2 linked regions of the Anolis sagrei genome follow. The protein of the gene in region 1 interacts with the protein of each later gene in a pairwise test. Links are inferred from orthologs where the notes say so. Each region holds a gene or a part of one and is shown in the gene's direction. Other genes may lie near its edges.

The links. The genes of interacting proteins can lie anywhere in the genome.
Region 2: the proteins of KASH5 (region 1) and GPR25 interact in binary tests that used the Homo sapiens proteins (3 or more experiments, as listed by UniProt). The two-hybrid records come from large-scale screens. The link is inferred for Anolis sagrei from reciprocal best matches to the Homo sapiens genes KASH5 and GPR25.

What each region holds. Positions count from the first base shown.
Region 1 is NC_090026.1:22,017,422-22,024,254, reverse strand, and holds the start of KASH5 (protein KASH5), read left to right. Parts: upstream 1-3,825; coding exon 3,826-3,901; intron 3,902-5,607; coding exon 5,608-5,721; intron 5,722-6,833. UniProt on the Homo sapiens protein: As a component of the LINC (LInker of Nucleoskeleton and Cytoskeleton) complex, involved in the connection between the nuclear lamina and the cytoskeleton.
Region 2 is NC_090024.1:185,441,871-185,447,472, forward strand, and holds GPR25 (probable G-protein coupled receptor 25), read left to right. Parts: upstream 1-3,959; coding exon 3,960-5,042; 3' UTR 5,043-5,092; downstream 5,093-5,602. UniProt on the Homo sapiens protein: Orphan receptor.

The sequences.
Region 1 (6,833 bases):
ATGCCTGTAGAAAATGCTGGCCATATAACCTGGAAAAACCTACAACAACCCAGTGATCCCAGCCATGAAAGCCTTCGACAATACATTGAACTCTTGTCTGTTTGAGGCAAGTGTGAATATTGCAACTGGCCACCTTGATTAGCACTGAATGGCCTTGCAGCTTCAAAGCCTGGCTGCTTTCTGACTGAGGAAATCTTTTGTTGGGATGTGTTACGTGTCTGGAATTTCCCTGTTTTTTGAACATTGCTCTTTATTTACTGTCCTCATTTTAGATATTTTTAAATACTGGTAGCCATATTTTGTCCATTTTCATAGTTGTGGATCATGTTTCACAGACTCTTTTCCAATAAAAACTTGTGCTAATTTTGAAAAAAAAGGTATAATGTAGATGTAGCATGACCAAGAAGAAAGGGAGCAGAAATATGGTATTTAAAGGCATAAACCAGGCAAAAAGACTAGGGGGAGATTGCCATGGATAGCCTTGCATAATAATAATAATAATAATAATAATAATAATAATAATAATAATAATAATATATTTATACCCCCGCTACCATCTCCCCAAGGGACTCGGTGCGGCTTACATGAGGCCAAGCCCACAGTACATCAGCAAACAAAGGCAATAACAAAAACAATCAATACAAAACAGTTAATATAAATTACATAAACAAAAAATTAGGCAGCAAAATGTCTAGATGATGGAGAAAACATTATGAGAGCTTATGCATAGGGATCTTGTAGCATTTAGAGACTGGGGCCCTTTCCAATATGACTTGGCCACGGTAGTACACGCTTTGGTTACATCCTGCTTAGATTACTGCAACGCTCTCTACGTGGGGTTGCCTCTGAAGACTGCCCGGAAGCTGCAGCAAGTACAATGCGCAGCAGCCAGATTACTAACGGGTGCGGGGTACAGGGAGCACACCACTCCGCTGTTACTCGAACTCCACTGGCTGCCGATTAGCTTCCGAGCACAATTCAAAGTGCTGGTGTTAACCTATAAAGCCCTAAACGACTCCGGCCCTGTTTACCTCTCTGAACGTATTCTCCCCTACGAACCATCAAGACCACTAAGATCATCCGGAGGGGCTCTGCTCTCGGTCCCTCCGCCTGCACAAGCACGGCTGGTGGCGACGAGGGACAGGGCCTTCTCGGTGGTGGCCCCTTGACTTTGGAACTCCCTGCCATTAGAGATCAGAACTGCCCCCTCCCTCATGACATTCAAGAAACTAACAAAGACCTGGTTGTGGAACACGGCATTTGACAACTGATTTAATTCTTTGCCCACATGAAAGGAGGATGATGAATGGGATTGTGATGGTGTCAGACGATTTGGCTCTTTTAACTGGGATGATAATGTTTTAATGTGTATGGTGCTGATATTTTAATCATGTAATTAAGTGGCATTGTGTTGTTATTGTATATTTTTTGTATGTTAACACATGTTGTGAACCGGTCCGAATCCCTCTTTGAAGGTGAGAGGGTCGGTATATAAAAACTCGAAATAAATAAATAATAAATTCTATACTGCCATATAACCTACATATAATCTATATAATCTGTTTGAACTTGATTATATGAGTCTACACTGCCATATAATCCCGTTCAAAACAGATAATCTGGTTTTTACATGGCAGTGTAGAAGGGGCCTTATTCTTCCCGCCCTTTTAGGAGTGTCTCCTTCTTCCCTCAGCAAGGCCCTCTCAGTTTAGTCAGGGAAGGAGGCATTTTCACTCTGAATTCCCCTCAAAAGGTGGAAGGGCTTTTCAGTCCACTTTGCTTTTGGTCGAAGAGGCTGTTTTGTTTGTTTGTTTAATGGCTGAGGAGATTTCAGTGAGGGAAGAAATAATTTTCAGGGGTTGCCTTTGAAATATAGCTTGGCCTCCCCTCAGTTGCGCAAGGAGTAACAAGATGGCTCCTTGAAGAAGGTTGAAAGGCATGGGGAAGGGGCCCATTTTAATGGGAACTCTGCCTTCGTCAGGCACGGGCAAACTTCGGCCTTCCTCCAGGTGTTTTGGACTTCAACTCCCACAATACCTAACAGCCGGTAGGCTGTTAGGTATTGTGGGAGTTGAAGTCCAAAACACCTGGAGGAAGGCCAAAGTTTGCCCATGCCTGTTTCAAACACTCTCTGAAGTGACTATATCACAGGCAGGCATAATTGAGGTTTTTGAAGCCTTTATCTGGCAATATGTCATGCTGGCCACCTGACCTTGGAGGTGTCTATGGACAACGCGGGCTCTTCGGCTTAGAAATGGAGATGAGCACCACACCCCAGAGTCAGACATGACTGGACTTAATGTCAGGGGACAACCTTTACCTATGTCATTTATTTTGAGGGGAAGTGAAATGCTGAAAAGGGGATTGAAGTCTTCTTTTTTTAAAAATCTATTTTATTAAGGTTAGAAAGGGAGGGAAAGTAGAGGGATATTTTTTTTTCTATGCATGTAAAGTGGAGGAATAATAATGCTATAGGAAAGTAGGGCAAAAAAGAGAAAGAAGGAGAAAAAAATCATATAATAATAATAATAATAATAAAATAATAGTAATAAAAAAACTATCGAAAAATTCAACCAACAGCAGAATTTTTTTTAAAAAATTGATTGTTGACTTAGTCTTTTGAGGGTTCATCTTTCTCTTTAATTATATACTTTCCGTTAAGGGTACAGTTTAGTAACGATGTATTGTTGAAGGCTTTCATGGCCGGAATCACTGGGTTGTTGTAGGTTTTTTCGGGCTATATGGCCATGGTCTAGAGGCATTCTCTCCTGACGTTTTGCCTGCATCTGTGGCAAGCATCCTCACTACCTCTGGAAGAGACCTCGTGGGCCATCCAGTCCAACCTCTTGCCAAGAAGCAGGAAAATTGCATTCAAAGCACCTCCGACAGATGGCCATCCAGCCTCTGTTTGTAGTTTATTCGTTCAGTCGCTTCTGACTCTTTGTGACCTAATGGACCAGCCCACACCAGAGCTCCTTGTTGACTGTCACTACCCCCATCTCTTTCAGAGTCAAGCCAGTCACTTGACTCTGTTTAAAAGCCTCCAAAGAAGGAGCCTCCACCACACTCCGGGGGCAGAGAGTTCCACTTCTGAACAGCTCTCACAGTCAGGAAGTTCTTCCTAATGTTCAGGTGGAATCTCCTTTCCTGTAGTTTGAAGCCATTGTTCTGCATCCTAGTCTCCAGGGCAGCAGAAAACAAGCTTTCTCCCTCCTCCCTATGACTTCCCCTCACATATTTATACATGGCCATCATGTCTCCTCTCAGCCTTCCCATCTGCAGGCTAATCATGCCCAGTTCTTTAAGCCGTTCCTCATAGGGCTTATACTCAACATTCTGATCCTTTTAGTTGCCTTCCTCTGGACACATTCCAGCTTGTCAACATCTCCCTTCAATTGTGGTGCCCAGAATTGGACACAGTATTCCAGGTGTGGTCTGACCAAGGCAAAATAGAGGGGTAGCAAGACTTCCCTAGATCTAGGCACTATACTCCTATTTATGCAGGCCAAAATCTCATTGGTTTGCATAAATAAGAGTATAGTGTTTCAATCCAGGGACAGCTTTAAGCAATTTAGTGTACAGATTTTTGAACTGATGGCATTGTCATACCTATATTTTTGAGGTAATTCAACCAGGTGTTTTATTACGGTACTTTCAAAACCTGGCAAACAATTCTCCCGAAAAGTCTCTTGTTTTGTGAAGGCTGGAACCAAGTTCCTGGTTTGCTGGCTGCGCTTAAATAAAACACATTCTTTCTTTTTTTGAAGGAAAAGAATATTTCTGTGGAATAAATAAAGCTCTGACTGAAAAGGCACTTATCTGGTGATGGAGGATATTATTTACCACAAGTCTTTTGAAAATGCAGCAGTAGCACAGTTAACTGCAGTCTTATCAACAGAAGGTAAATATTAGTTGTTCCTGAAAAATTCAATCTTGTAATTGTTTATTATTTTATTGGTGTTGGATCTTAGAACCATCCTGTCATCCACGTTAATTTGAAAAAAAGTAATTCCTATTTAACAGTACAGTTTTGGTTTCAAAGCTATGGGCTGCTGTTGTTTCCTAATTTTGATGTTTGTGCCACTTACCCTAAACGACATTAACTCAGGCCATTCATAGTGACTCCAGTAAAAATGGATGCAAGTCTGAACCACATTTCTCAAATCAATGTTTAGATTATCTAAATATTGTTTTTCCCCCTATATGTTCCAAGCGTACCTGATTTCTAGAGCTACAGAGAGATCATGGCACAGTAGACTGGCATGCAACACACTTACTCTCCCTTGTTTTGACCCAAAATCCCAAATGATTATTTTACAAACTTGGGCTAGTATGCAAAGTGCTTTATTACCAATGTGTGTGTGTGTATAAGAGGGAGCGAGCGCTTAGGTTGACATATAAATGAATAACAAATACATAGATTGTGGGCCTTTGTGGGCTGGTCAATGAAAAACCTTGGGGCTGAGTGTTCTTTCCAGTTCTTGTCCAACTCTAGATAAAGCTTGCTTTTTATTGTTGTAATATCTCTTTTTTATTTATCGTATCAGAAGCAAATGAAGGGTATAGTTGTAATGTATTTAAAACCACAAAGTTTAAAAATTTGCCATTCTATTAAATGTCCTTTGACCAGTAGCTGGCCACTTGGAGTGCCTCTGGAGTTACTATAAGAAGGTCCTCCATTGTGTATGTTGCAAGGCTCAGGCTGCATTGTAATGGGTGTTCTGTGGTTTGCCCTTCTCCACACTCACATGTGGTGGACTCCACTTTGTGGCCCCATTTCTTAAGGTTGGCTCTGCATCTCGTGGTGCCAGAGCGCAGTCTGTTAAGAATCTTCCAAGTCGCCTAGTCTTCTGTGTGCCGGGAGGAGTCTCATTCGGTATCAGCCATGGCTTGAGGTTCCAGGTTTTTGCCTGCCACTTGCCTGCCACTGTAATATCTCTAATATGAATACAAATGCTTTCTCTAGTTTCAGTCATTCTCCATTTTAGTTCAGTTCTGTGCCACAAAATAGGCGACACCTGTGTGGCAGTCATTGGTCTGATGTCACTGATCTACTTTACTATGATTTCCAATTTAGTTTGTAACTCAATCCCTAGTAGAAATTATTGTAATGTTGCATTGGTGCAGTTCTTCATCTAGTTCTGTGGAGTGTGAGTCATGCAAATTGTACATCAAATACTTTTCAGTTGGATGCTTTATCCGCTCTTCACATTTGGTTTTATGACAAATTAGGGTATTCTGAGAGAGAGAGAAAAATAGAGTTACTGTACATGCTGCTTCATACATACTCATCTGGCTTTTAAGCCATTAAGTTGCTCAGCAATTTTTGTTTGAATGAAGAAACCCTATTTGAGATGCAAGCACTTTGAGTAGATATGAGACATACCATTTCAGTAAAAAGAATGGACAGTGGGGAATTATGAATGGGAGAGATGAAGAAAAGGCCTAATATTGGATTTTGAGTACAGAGAAATGGGCTGTAATGTGGACAAATGGCAAGTCATTATGTCTTTTTAGTCAAGTGAGCTTATTTTAGATCTTTGTGGGTATAATGGTTTGCAGATTATCCAGGCTTAGAGGAAAAAAACTAATTTATGTGTTTCTTAGCAGTACCATGGGACAACTCTGGTGTTAGCAACAAAAACATCCTGAATGCAGACCACTGCTCTGAAGAAAATGTTCTGAAATGCACATTCAAGGCCTGTGATTCTGAACAAACAGGTACAAACCATTTCAGTAGTAGCTGGAAACAGTCAGCAAATCCAATGTTACTTTACTGGGGAAAAATTGTAGGAGAAAGACGTGTCTTTTCTCAATTTTTTATTGTTTTTATTGACTTGGAATTACAAACAAAATACAGCAATTGCCATACATAATGGAAATTACCAAGCAAGAGGATATTCAACCTAGTTACTTCAAAATAGGATTGACTCTCTGTTCTCTTTTTATTGCAAGGGAATTCCTCTTTCAGTCTCAGGACCCTATCACACTTTAACTGCCATGGTAATATCATATACGATCCTGGGTTTTCCACTTTAGGTAGGAGCATTTAGAATTCTCCGACAAAAAAACTCTTGGCCCTCATTAAACTACAAGCCACAGAATATTTTAATGGCAGGTAAAGTGGAATAATAATGCTAATAGTGTGATGTGATAGGGCTCCAAGTAGAATGTTTCTTTTTGGTTAACAGCTTGTTTTGGAATGTGTCTCCCTGACTGGAATGAGGAAACCTTTTGTTGCTTACCTGTTGTATGCTTTATGGAGGGAAAAGTGTGGCTTCAAGGAGCAGCACTACTCTTGCCTAGTTTATTTATTTATTTAAAACATTTATATTCCACCCTTCTCACCCCAAAGGGAACTCAGGGCGGAGCACAGCATATATACGGCAAACATTCAAGAATTCATATACGCATGCATAAACATTAAAAACATTTATCGCAAGATTAAAATACACCATTTAAAACCGTCTTGGTCATCTGTGTCAAATCTAATTGGCCTGGTAATCTTTCCTATTGCTGCTTCTAGTGAGGAAGTAAAATGTGTCATCCAAGAAACCTCTTTGTCAAAAAGGGATTGGGAAGCAGCTCTTCTAAAAGGAAGAATTTGAAATGACATAGATGGATTTTAATTGAAGTATACACAGAAAAAAGTAATAATCAGGATAAAACTGGGAGGACATGGGACACAATGTATTGCTTTTAAAAAAGACATTTAAGAACAGACTTCTGTTTCCTATCTCCAGTCCTTCAGGTTTCAGATTGTTCAGCAGCCTTTTTTTTCTTGAAACAAAGAACTAGAATCTTGTTTTAAAAGATAAATTATCATCTGAGCT
Region 2 (5,602 bases), on another chromosome or scaffold:
AAGAAGAAGAAGAAGAAGAAGAAGAAGAAGAAGAAGAAGAAGAAGAAGAAGAAGAAGAAGAAGAAGTGGTGACAAGAAGCAACCGGAAAAGCTTTCGTGACATGAGGATTTAAAGACAGAACTGCAAAGACTCTGGCACAAGCCAGTAAAGGTGGTCCCAGTAGTAATCGGCACACTGGATGCAGTGCCTAAAGACCTTGGTGTGCACTTAAAAACAATCGACGCTGACAAAATTACCATCTGTTAGCTGCAAAAGGTCATCTGCAGGCATTATTCGGAGATAAATCACACAGTCCTAAACACTTGGGAAGTGTCTGACGTGTGATCAAATACAAAAGCCAGCATAGTGTTCTTGTTTGCTGTGTACTAATCTTGTTATGTATCAAATAATAAAACTTTATTTATACCCCACCACTATCTCCCGTAAGGACTCAGAGTTGCTTACAAAATAGCACACAATGGTGCCATACATACATAAAATACAATACATCAACATATAGAATCAATAACACATTTACATAAAAACATACATATAAAATTAACAAAAACAATCTCTATTAAATAGTATTGGTAAAATGTGGCTATAGTCATTGGTTAGAAAGATCCATAGCAATTGATTTAGCAGCCCAGCTGTATACCCATCAAAATGTAGATATAAGGTACTAAAGTAATTGGCAATCGGTTTGGCTACCAGCTTAAATTTTATTAAAGGCCTGCTGAAAAACCCAAGTTTTTAACTCTTTCCAAAAGTGCTGTAGTGTGGGGTCTTGCCTACGTTCCTTGGGGAAGGAGTTCTGAAGCTGGGGGCCACCACCCCCAGCTTTGGGCCCTCTCCCTCATCCCCGCTAACTGCACTTGATATGGAGGTGGGACCGAGAGGACGGCTTCCCTGGAAGATCTTAGAGCCAACACCGGTTCATAGGGGGAGATGCGATCACAAAGATAGGCTAGACCCGAACTGTCAGGGGTCCTCAAACTAAGGCTCGGGGCCCGGATGCGGCCCTCCAAGGTTATTTACCCGGCCCTCACTCAGGGTCAACCTAAGTCTGAAACAACTTGAAAGCACACAACAACAATTCTATCTCATCAGCCAAAAGCAGGCCCACACTTCCCATTGAAATACTAATAAATTGGTATTTGTTCTTCATTTTAATTATTGTATTGTTTTTAAGTGGTTTTTGCACTACAAATAAGGTATGTGCAGTGTGCATAGGAATTCATTCATGTTTTTTTCCAATTATAATCCCGCCCTCCAACAGTTTGAGGGACTGTGGCCTAGCCTTCTGTTTAAAAAGTTTAAAAAGTCTGAGGACCCCTGGTGTAGAGCATTGTAGCTAATAACCTGCACATTGAATTGGGACCAGAAACTTATTGGCAGCCAGTGGAGCTGCTTCAGTAGGGGCAAGGTGTCTCCCTATAGATAGCCCCAGTTAGTATCCTGGCTGCCGATCTTTGCACCAACTGCAATTTCCAAGCCATCTTCAGAGGCAGCCCCACGTAGAGTGCATTGCAGTAATCCATTCTAGATATAACTAAGGCATGGATCACAATGGCCATAATGCAGCATTTAGCAGAAATGTATAAAATTTAGGAGGAAAGGATCTTGTTTAAGAATTGATCCCCCCCCCCCCCCGGTGATTGTAGAGCTTAAAATACAGGGTTAGTCAAAATGAATAGGCCAATAAGAAAATTAATTTTAGACGAATGTATGTTTATTGTAACCAAACTACAGCTACGTATCGACAGATAAATTATCAAAGTTTTGTCTCACCTTCAGAGATGTTTGATATGGGCGCCCCGTGTGACACGGCAGACGTCCAAGCGATAGTCCAGTTAATTCCACATCCGTTGCAGCACATCCGACGTAATGGCATCGAATGCAGCACATATGCGCTGTTTTAAGTCGTCCAAGGTCAGCGGTAATGGAGGTCGGAACACAGTGTCTTTCACATACCCCCAGAGAGAAAAGTCGCATGGTGTGAGGTCGGGGGACCTGGGGGGCCACAGGAGGAATGGAAGATCAGTCACTCCAGCACGGCCAATCCAACGTCTGGGAAGGTGTTCGTTGAGGTACTCGCGTATACTGTTGTGCCAATGCGGAGGGGCACCGTCCTGTTGGAATACGAAATTGGGCACTTTCTCTTCTAACTGTGGCATCAACCATTCAGACAACATGTCAGCGTACACTATGCCTGTTACGGTTTTCTCCGCAAAAAAGAATGGGCCAAACACGTGACGGTTGGTTATTGCACAGAAAACGTTTACCTTCGGCGAATCCCTTACATGTTCCAATACGGCATGAGGATTTTCAGATCCCCAAAAGCGGAGATTATGCCTATTGACCTTCCCGCACAGGTGAAACGTTGCCTCGTCACTGAAGACCAGTCTGTTGGCAAAGCCTTCCTCCTCTAGTCTTCGCTACATTGATTCGCAAAAATCGTGTCGTTTCGAATAGTCACCTTTTTTCAAAGCCTGCACCATTTGCAATTTATATGGCTTGAACTGCAAACGTTTGCGTAACACGCGCCACACAGTTTTTTGCGGAACGTTCAATTCCATGGAAACACGATTTGTCGACTTCTGGGGACTTCGTTGAAAGGATGCATAAATGGATTCCACTGTGTCTTCGGAGACACACGGTCGTCCTGTGGTTTTACCCTTGCATAAGCAGCCCGTCTCCTCAAATTGCTTTACCCACCTGGAATGTCGATGAGGTGGTTCCTTGCCATACTTGGCTCGAAATTCTCGCTGGACCGTAATTACTGACATTGTTTTAGCAAATGTCATCACACAAAACGCCTTCTCTTTGCCTGATTCCGCCATTTTGAAAACAGCGACTCCTAGCGATGCCTAGCGGCATTAACGTACATGTGTGTTGCTCAAAAAAAACTTTGATAGTTTATCTGTCGCTACGTAGCTGTGGTTTGGTTACAGTAAACATACATTCGGGTACAATTAATTTTCTTATTGGCCTATTCATTTTGACTAACCCTGTACATGTACCAGATTCAAGATCCAAGGGCTGAATCTGGTCCTCTAGATGCTGGACTAAAACTCTTGTATTCCTCATCATTAGTCATCATGACTATAGCTGATGGAAAGCAGCAATTTGTTCTGTTTAGTCAGGATAATAGGATTTGAATTTAGATACAAGACTTCTGGATAGTATATCTTACTTTAAATTGTCTTGTAACCATTCTTCTGAGCCACAAGTACTGTTGAGTTGCAATTCTTACAATCCCTAGACCATGACAGATAATCAAAAATGATGGGAATTGTCATTCAATAACATCTGGGGACCCACAATGGATGAAAAGTAAAGAGCACCAACCACTATGTAAAGAATTATTTTTGGCCCTCTGTATCAACAGATTTTCCATCCATGGATTCAACAGCTCTTTGAAAGCAAACATAAGGCTGATGTGGCGCTTGGTAGAATATGAGTTTGACACCCCTGGCTTAAAGGTTGTCAGGGTTCAAATGAATATCATTCTGCAAGTAAGCCATTCCACTTGAGAAGCAACTCTTGATAAGCACTGTGTGAAAAGTCCAACATTTTCTTTGATGCATGCTTTAAGGACAGTGATATTTATTTTCTGATTTCATAAAATCTGCAGTGAAACAAGTAATCATCACTGGATTGCAAATATCCTGCTGCGACCATCATAGAAGGTTCCACCATGATCATAAATGTACACACTCTTCAAACATAAGCATCCTGATACCCAGTTTCTGCAATCTTAAAGGATTTCCAAAATTGGGTTGATGTCAAGCTTTCAAGTTGTTATTGCTTGACTGAAACAAACCTCTACCTCTTCATGAAAAGCAAGAGGAAGTTACCACTAGAAAAACAAGAAAACCACTCTTTAGACAACACCCACCTGTTATAGATTGAATGTGCCTTGGTGTCCTCTTGCAACAATATTGCTGAAGACTCTTCAGTGAATCCTTGTTAAGAGATGGAAGCTGCTCAATTGTCAACTACATCAGCAATGACAGAAAACTGGAGTAGCAACTTTGAAGAATACCCAACTGAATATGATGGATTGGATTCTATGAATATCTGCCACCTGGAACTACCATTTGCTTACATCTTTATCCCCATTCTCTATTTCCTGAGTTTTTTCATCGGTTTCTTTGGGAACCTATTTGTGATCCTACTGATGGCACGAAAACAAGGTAGCAAAAGGCTTGTGGATACCTTCGTTCTCAATCTGGCCATAGCTGACCTGGTCTTTGTATTTACTTTGCCTTTCTGGGGTTTGTCAGCAGCTCTTGATGGCTGGCTCTTTAGTGAAGGACTATGCAAGCTGAGCAGCTATACCATCTCTGTCAACCGCTGCTCAAGTATCTTGTTCCTGACAGGCATGAGCGTGGAACGCTTCCTTGTGATGACCAAGCGTTGGGATGCCAGGTCCATTGGAACCAGGAAGAATGCCATCACGAGCTGTGGCTGCATCTGGGCAATCTCACTACTTCTAGGAATACCATCACTGGTCTACAGAAATCTGGCCTTCAAGGGAGATAGCAAATATTCATGCCAGGGTGACCCCCCTGCCACCTTCAGTGTGGTCATGCTCAGCTTAACCTTCCTGTTGCCGTTGGGAGTCATCTTGTTCTGCTATTGCTCTATCTTCTCCAAACTTCAGAGCCATGCCAGACTAGGCAAAAGAAGAAACAATGCCCTTAAAATCATCTTTACCATCATTGGGGCATTTGTCTGTTCTTGGCTGCCTTTCAACACCTTCAAGATAATCTTCACTATGGCTCAGAACATTGATCTCTCTTGCCAGGCCCTGAGAACTCTCTTCGGGGGACTCACCATCACCGCTTGCCTGGCTTTCGTAAACAGCTGTATCAACCCTGTCATCTATGTCTTTATGGATCAGCACTTTCGACAGCAGGTCCTGATGTATTTCCCTGGATTTTGGAAAGCAAAGGGAAATATGCAAGCCTCCAGCATGTCCTTTTCATCTACAGAATCAAGTGTTTTGTTTGGCAGCAGGAAAAAGCTCCCACCCGCCACGTCTGTTCAGATATGAAACACAGTAAAAGATGTGTAGGTTTGCAAAAGCCTCCAAGATTTGGCACGTTTTTGGCTTGGACTGCTGAGAATAACCACAGGGTTTCTGAGTTATGTTGATTATGAAAAAGAGGGTAAGGAGATGGTCTGTAAATGTGGGTGGAAATTGATATATTTTGACTATCAGTTGTAAATTACAATAGGAAAAGAATTTATTTTTATCATTATTTCTAATGTGTATGAATGAAATCAACTCCCCACTTATATAATTTGACCCCATTTCTATTGCATTATAAGAATAGAAATTTAACATATACCCATCATTATAAAGCTATTTCTGCTTGCTAAAATTGAGATATGCTGGGACTGAATAGGAGAGACATGTACAAGTGTATCTGCAGCTGAAATGTGAATTATTTTGCTTTTACTTTCAATTACATATGTTCTCACCACCACATTTTTGAATGTTTGTATCGTTTTTACAAAATTGATGAATAGATCTTGATTGCTCATTGAAAATATTTAGCATGAAAGAAAAATAAATTACCTTATAATTCTAGACCAGATTTTTAAAACGCA